Linked DNA regions of Coturnix japonica. The protein of the gene in region 2 binds, or shares a complex with, the protein of the main gene of each other region. Links are inferred from orthologs where the notes say so. Each region holds a gene or a part of one and is shown on either strand. Other genes may lie near its edges.

The links.
Region 1: the proteins of AP2A2 (region 2) and ITSN1 are in contact, whole or in part, in a crystal structure (PDB 3HS8), measured with the Mus musculus proteins. The link is inferred for Coturnix japonica from reciprocal best matches to the Homo sapiens genes AP2A2 and ITSN1. Residues at the interface, in XP_006536218.1 of Mus musculus: Glu308, Gly320, Val321, Glu324, Gln329, Gly331, Leu332, Lys333, Phe346, Gly348, Asn349, Lys350, Gly386, Ala387, Gln388; in NP_034717.2 of Mus musculus: Asn841, Trp843, Ala844, Phe846, Ser847, Ser848.

Annotation. Positions count from the first base shown.
Region 1 is NC_029516.1:94,931,922-94,935,571, forward strand, and holds part of ITSN1 (intersectin-1), read left to right. Parts: coding exon 1-66; intron 67-1,076; coding exon 1,077-1,236; intron 1,237-2,084; coding exon 2,085-2,290; intron 2,291-2,954; coding exon 2,955-3,037; intron 3,038-3,650. UniProt on the Homo sapiens protein: Adapter protein that provides a link between the endocytic membrane traffic and the actin assembly machinery. Acts as a guanine nucleotide exchange factor (GEF) for CDC42, and thereby stimulates actin nucleation mediated by WASL and the ARP2/3 complex.
Region 2 is NC_029520.1:9,441,432-9,445,862, reverse strand, and holds the start of AP2A2 (AP-2 complex subunit alpha-2), read right to left. Parts: upstream 2,937-4,431; 5' UTR 2,816-2,936; coding exon 2,749-2,815; intron 1-2,748. UniProt on the Homo sapiens protein: Component of the adaptor protein complex 2 (AP-2). Adaptor protein complexes function in protein transport via transport vesicles in different membrane traffic pathways.

The sequences.
Region 1 (3,650 bases), on a different chromosome or scaffold from region 2:
ATTAGGAACTGCTGCATCTACTGAGTGCACAACAACTGCCAACAACTGGGCAGACTTCAGTTCAACGTATGTTTGGGTAGTGATTATCGCCTCAAGTGTGTACTTTTTAATTGACTGGACTATGATAAGTAGTTAAAACAAAGTACACAGATTGCAAAAGAAAAATGTTTTGTAACATATTACAAAGTAAATTACACTATATATATATATATATATATATATATATATTATTACAAAGTAACGTATTACAAGTAAAATATTTTTCTGTAGTAAATAGTTACAATTGCAGCCTTGTAAAACTAGAATCATTCTCCTATCCTATCTAGGCAGATAATACACATTTTCATGTTTTTCATATAAAATTAGTAATGCTGTCCCTGACATGAAAAGAGTTTTGTTAGTTATCGCCTTTTGGCACTATTATAGTCCAGGTGTACAACTGATTACTCAACTAAGAGCACATGAAACAGGCAAAGAAAGCAGGCAGAGAAGATTTAAGTTGGATTATTTTCTTATACTCCTTGAGTTCACTGAATTTTGATAATCTAAGAGGGTACTTTGAGGCAGAGATATAGATCATGAGACTTGTTGGACATTTTAAAATATAAGAGCATAAAGAGGATAAGAAGTAGTGTTAAAACTACCTCTAGAGTTAAAAAAGTCAGTAGAAAATAATTTTAAGCAAAAGAAAAGAGTTAAAGATTTGAAGTAGCATTATGAGGCATAACACAGAGGCATGTGAGAGCCATCAGTGACTGTATGTAATATAGATTGCAGTACTTAACATTTTCATTGTACTGGGGCACACCTAAACAATGAAACTAAATTACAGAAATGGTTGGCCATAAATAAGCACCAATGAACAATTAACTATTCTTAGAGATTGCCTTATAGAAATATATTTATTGTAACACTTTCTTTGTTTGCATAACCTTCACTGCAGAGTTAAGCTGCTAATCACTCATGGAATATTGAATTACAAGAAATAGACCAAGAATGTTGAATTTATTTATTTGCACATGAGCATTTTTACTCCCCTGAAAACAGTAGGAATAATGTAATTCACTTATTTTCAGATGGCCAGCAAACACTAATGAGAAACCAGAGACAGACAACTGGGATGCCTGGGCAGCTCAGCCGTCTTTGACTGTTCCCAGTGCAGGGCAGCTGCGGCAGAGATCAGCCTTCACCCCTGCCACTGTTACAGGATCGTCTCCCTCTCCTGTATTGGGTCAGGTGAGCAGCTGTGTTCACTGGAACTGTTCTGAGCCAGCATGAACTTCTGGATAGCAGAGAGAATATTTACAATTGAAATCCTTCCCTGAGTGTGCAAACTATGACAGTTTAGAGTGATAAAAGTATTAGAATACACCCATTAACAAAGTCAGTGGCAGAATCTAACACAAACAAGCAGCTGTTCTTCTGCAGTTCTTTGCTGGCTTTTTTGAACTACAGTGGTCCCATCTTAAAATTTTGGCTGGGTGCTACTTTTGAATCACTTCCTTTGGGCTTTATTAAATCACATGGCAACAGTGTTTGTTCCAGAGTGGATTATATGGTTAAGTGGTGTAGATGAGATTAAGCTTCACATAAGATGAATTCAGTCCATCTGTAAGAGACTGTGCTTTCCTCAACTTGGCTCATCGTTCTTGTAAGCTAATGTGTTGTTCTGATAAATGCAAAATACCTAAGTGTCTTTGAGCAAAACTAAAAAGTAGGAATATGCAATGTATTACTAGCAGCAAAGCATAGTTTTCCATAAAATTTACTTCAAACTCTTTCAAAATAACTTTGTCACGGTTTATTGTATCTATATCTTAATTGTTGAACTTACGAAGAAGCAAACTCCCAAATAGTCTTGCATTGTAGAGATTACACATTAACAGAAAGAAATGTAGGAGGGCTGTGGGCGTTTCTTGTATTACTTTGTAATTTTGACTGACATATTTTGCTTTATACAGATGAGAAGTCACCATATTTTGGGGCTATATAGATTGTATAAGAATGTAACTCCTTAAGAAGCTGCCTTTATGAAAAGTGTTGCAAGGCTGAATTCTCTCTCTTTTTTCTCTAAATTGCATTAGGGTGAAAAGGTGGAGGGACTTCAAGCACAGGCTTTGTATCCTTGGAGAGCAAAAAAAGACAACCACCTTAATTTTAACAAAAATGATGTCATCACAGTTTTAGAGCAGCAAGATATGTGGTGGTTTGGAGAAGTTCAAGGACAAAAGGGGTGGTTTCCTAAGTCATATGTGAAGCTTATTTCAGGCCCCATTAGGAAGTCGACAAGGTATTGTATATGCTTATACTGTACTTTACTTCAATACTATTTTGGTTAAATTAATGTGAAAAGTTGCTCACTTGAGTTTTAAAGTTTTGATGTGACTCTTCTCTGTTAGGTTTTTATTCCCGTCTCTGAAAATTCAGATGAGGAATATGTAAGCTGACCTCATTTCTCCTTGTACTACGCACCACCACCAATAGACCTAAAGCTTAATCAGCAGTCTTAATTAAAAGTCGCTTGCAACTAAGAAATTACTATTTTGACATTATGAGTTATAGCTGCATAAGTTTCAGCTTATCTTTTTCTCAGAATAAAATACAATACATCAGAGCTTAATCACTTATCATTATTCTTGGAGGATGAAACAATTAGAATCTAGTTCTGTGAAAGGTGAGGTCAGCATTAACATCACTGATACTGATTAGAATGTTTTTAGATTTTTTTCTCTTCTGACGGATAAGGAGAGGCAACAAATGGTGTATTCCATGCAGTTACTTAATTATAACTACAACTAGCCATCATACTTTAAAGATGTAATTTGTAAGTTTACTGTTTATTAGAAAATTTAGGGAATTGCTTAAGGATACATGTATGTGTTTTATTTTTAACATACATTAAGCATCTTCTGAAGAGATTTAATTTCTTAAATAACTGTTATTCTCTTGTAAAGCATGGATTCTGGTTCTTCAGAAAGTCCTGCTAGTCTGAAAAGAGTAGCATCACCAGCAGCTAAAGCAACTATGTCAGGTGAAGGTAAGCATTCCAGACTGGATGGCATTAGCACTATTTTACTATGTGATTAAATGTAAGCAGTCTGTGTATTAGCAAAATATGAGCCCAGGATCAACAAAACAGGCTTGTTTTAATATCAGGCTTGTAAAAATTTGTGTATGTTTTATATGCAGAAACAGTATTTGAACATTTCTTCTACAGTTTATAGTGTTCCATATGTAAATATTTTGGTATCAGTTCAGTTCCCCGTGGAACTGTTTAGAATGGATTTTTGCAGAGGGCCAGGAAAACACTTTCATGCTGTGTTTATTTGTAATTCATAGGTAATTCATGATGCGAGGAATTATTAATGAATGTCTCAGTTTCACTCAATACTCATTTCCACTGTTCCATTAAAGCTCTCTGTAACTGATGGTAGTTTCCTTATTTGAAAGTTGTGATCTGTATGGTCAAAGCTACCCCTCATTTTTAAGGACAGAGCATATGGGGTGCAGACAGATAGATAATTGTCAGGTCTCCGGAGGATTTTAAAAGACTTGTATTCTTGCTTGTTACCACTCTTCAACTGGAGGTTAATGTCTCCATACAAGTTGCGGTGACAGACTGTGGGCACTCTAATCCACTTCAGTGCAAT
Region 2 (4,431 bases):
TGTAAAAATGGATAGACAAGACAGGCATTACTCCCAGATCAGTAATTTAATATACTTGTAACAGAATGATACATTGTTTAGAGCCACAGACACTGTAGGTACAAATGCCCAAGAAATAAAAGTTGCTGCATGACGAAGCATTTCTAAAAAGAAAAGCTCTGAATTTATGTAAGCGTCTCTTGAAAGTTTTATGCTGTTACCTTGGAAACATGCTCTGCATCCACCTAAGCACAGTTCACATATATCTACATTTTCAATATTCAGCAACAACTACGATGCAAATTCTCTATCTGTGTAAAGTCTTTCAGAAAGAGTCTTACATTATAATCTGAAGGGGCTGCAGACAAATTCAAACTTCAGTCATATATGGCAGAATTACAGAAGAGATAAATGAGTCAAAGCCAAAAGTAAGATGAAAATTGGGACTGCCAGCAGGTATTTTTCACATCAGTACAAGTGTCAGCTGCACTTGGTGTCCAGCTTCCCTCCCATCCAGAACAGGAACATTTTCTTATTTCGCATGTCAAAAGATCTTGCTTAACTGAACAGCGGTTTCTTTTTGTTCTCGACAAATATCTGCTCTGAAAAGGGAAAGGTGGAACTCAAGCCAGTACCAGTGCTTGTAAAGCACAACGTTTCTAGAGAGTGCTCTTAAGTATATTTGGGAATCTTAGATACAACAGCCCATGGTTAACCAGCAACACTTAAATCTCTCTAAACAGTAAAGATTCAGATGCCATTGAATAGCTACCACAGATCACCTACTGGTGGGAAATACCAGCTCTTTCACAACTATTTAGATTTAGAAGATGCATTACCTTCATTATGAAGATGAGAAAGATACAGAGGGGTAATTACAACCTACAAATTGCAGCCTCAACAGAGACAAAACAATCCAGAACCATCTTCGTAGGTTTGAACGATAAAGGGTTAACACCTTATTTGTTTCACAAATTAGTTACATCTTTGCTACTCTTGCAGACACTGCTAGCATGAATGGTTTGTTACTCAAATCGAACAGAGATGGTTGTTCCATCCATTCCTGCGCTGCTTACAAAATGGAAAGTCTGTGAGGAAATCAGTAGCTAATTTGTTCTATCCTTCTACCTCCAATCTTCTTATTCCACATCCTTTAACATAGGCTAGGTACCCCCAGAGCTTGACTATTTTCTTGTTTTCAGAGAAATCCAATAGAAGTGAATATAAGAGAGGAGAAACGTGTTAAGCAATAGCAAGACGTAAGAGATATTTGATGAACAGAAACCATAGTGCTTCTAGCCAAAGAGATGAAAGAAGTCATCCCAAAACAACAGTTACAAGAATGACAGGCATAAATTGGATGACAAGGTGAAACTGTTACAAATGTAGCAGGCATAACATAGTAATATACTTGCAGATCTCCAGGAAACATCTGGGTCAACCAGAAAAAGCTCAAGAGCACCAAAGTTGTCTTGAACTGATGAACATGTTCTGTACATGCAGAAGGCGGCTTACAGGAGGTATCCAAGGATTTGCAACTCAGTTCAGAAAACCTCTGCTGTTAAGAAGATCCAGGACCTTAAATTTACATGCAACGGTTCCTGTTTACATGACTGTAAGTCCAAATCACCTGAATTTAGTTGAATAAAACTGCACATCTAAGAGGTGTCATGTCATTGGTTGAATTTGCTCTGCAGCCTTTTCTGTTACTCCTGGAATAATTCCAAAGCCATCAACACAAAGCCCTCTGAAGCAGGAGCCTTCTCCAAGCCAGTTTGGTTATCCCAATACAAGCCCAGAGCACCATAACTTGCACTCTGAACAGCCACCAAATCCACTTCCATCCTTCAGAGTGGAGACTTTGGTGCCAATCCTTTTAGAATAGCCGCCTAGAGACACACCGGTGGACAAAACATATAGCCGTTTCATCACACCAACCACAGCGACCTTAGCCCTTCCCCAGGCAATTCTTGCCACATTGCACACTTAGATCTCTAACTCAGATTAATATTAACCTACTCTCACCTGCCATTCCCACGGCAGGGGAGGGTGCCAAGTACCCCCTAGCCTCCACAACCCCCTCCAAGCAGCAGCCTCCTCCCCCTCCTCTCCCTATAGAATGCCCTATACAAGGACGTCGCATCCCCATCCCTTAGGGGGCACCTACCGGCAGCCCTCTTTATCCGTTTTTTTTTTTTTACTGAGCAAATCCCAAGAGCTGTCTTCCGTCAAACCAGAATTTTAAAGGCGGCTTAAGCCAAGCGTAAACACAGCCAGCGAAGGCCCAGCAGAGGCCTGCTGCTTTCCTACGGTGCCTCTGAGCATCGCCAGCCGCCGGCAGGTCAGGGAGACCCGCGATGCTCCCCGCGGCACGGCACAAGCCCACCCACCCACCCCGGCCTCACTCCAACGATGGGCATCGACCTCCTCTCTCTGTCTCCCCCAACAAATGGGACCGCGGGGGAGAAGGAAGCACCGAACCGACGATATACACACGCAAATAACCCCCACTCCCGCATGGAAAGCCTCCTGTCTCATCACCCCCCCCCCCCCCCGCATCTCCCGCCGCCCCCTGGGGCGCGTCGCCATTTCGTGAGTAGATCACCGAGAGCGGCTCGCTGCGAGGGAGGGAGAAGGGAAAAGCACCGGGGAGGTGACAGGGGAGTCGGATGAGGGACGAACGCCCCGACCCGAAGCACAACAGCCCCCAACGACCGCCGGCCCGGCCCCGTTCAGCCCAGGCCCCGCCGCGCCTCAGCCGCCACTCACAGTTCCGGATATCGGAGATGAAGACGGCCAGGCCTCGCATCCCATCGCCCTTCGACACCGCCGGCATCGTGGCGCGCGATCAGGGCCGCCCAGCGACACGCCGAACCACCGCAACTACCACCGCCGCCGCCCGCTCACCCCGCGGGGCTCTTCAGGCCGCTGCAGCCGCCGCCTCTGCAGCGCGCATGCGCCGGGGTGGCTCCCGCGCCCCCGCGGGCGGCAGCGGGCGTGGCTGTGGCGCCCCCTGCCGAGCGGAGGCAGCTCCGCAGCGGCCCTGCCCTCTCCCGCAGCCCCTCGGCCGTTCCCGCAGAGGCCCGATCATCCGCCCGCCCCCCCGCAGCTGTGCTGCTGAGCCTTAATATCCCTCCACGGCCATCAGGACAAATAGGCCCCGACTGTAGGCCCTAAGCCCTGTCACAGAATCACAGAATGACCCGGGTTGGAAGGGACCTCAAGGATCATGTAGTTCCAACCCCCTGCCTGGCAGTGCCACCAAACACACACATTTACTAGATCAGGTTGCCCAGGGCCCCGTCCAACCTGGCCTTGAACACCTCCAAGGACGTGGCATCCACAACCTCCCTGGGCAGCCTGTTCCAGGGCCTAACCACTCTCCTAGTGAAGAACTTCCCCCTAACATCCAACCTAAATCTTCCCTCTTTTAACTTAAAACAATTTCCCCATGTCCTGCTATTGTCAGCCCTTTTGAAGAGTTTACTCCCCTCCTGGGAGTAAGTTCCCTTCAAGTATTGAAAGGCTGCAATGAGGTCAATACAGTTGACCTGAATTATGTGTGGCTCTTCACTACTCTTCTGGCTACCAGGGCATGCAGGTGCGCAAGACATGCTTCTTCTGAAGATCACAACCAAGCAGAGCAACACAGTCCCACACCAGAGAATTTGGACTGCATGGAGCATTTAATCTCATCAGCTGGAAATAGATTCAAAGAGCATCAAAACTGACCTAGTATGCCTAAACAACAGTGTGTTGAGAGGTTCAGCATACTTAATGCATTATAAAGACCTCTATAAGCATTAAGGAATACTAGAGACTGCTCATTTAATGTTTTCTTGCATCCTTCAAGCTGATAATTTTCATCTACACCTTCATCTTTTCCTTTTCTTTCCCATTTGCTTTTATTTATTTATTTTTGCCTGAATTGAGACCAGTAATTAGATTTTAGCTGCGGACTGTCTTCTAGAAAGGCATACAACCCTGATCTGAAACCACCAGTTTCAGTGTTTCCCTGGGTAGTTTGTTCCTGTAGTTTTATGTTCTGTTCTTAAAGCTTGCATCTTAAACTTGTAAAGCTTCAGTGCCTCCAAATAATGATACACTTTAACCTCATGTAGCAAGACCCACATAATATTTTCTGGTAATGGCTGTATATATGGCATAGGTCATCTCTCAATGGTCTTTTCCGTGTGTTTTCAGGATACATTTTTACACCAGTGCTTTGTTATTGTGTATCCATTCCAAAGAGAAGATTGCAATATCTGGTAGTCATCACTGTATCCATTTTCTTGTGCACAACCAGTCTTGATACAGATTCCCTGCATATGGAGGCTTACATGAAAAGAATTGACTTAATTCATAGCTTTACAATCAGACTGGATGCATAACAACAATCTTCAAACCACAAGACTTCAAAAATAGAAATCTTTCTCAAACAAACACACAAAC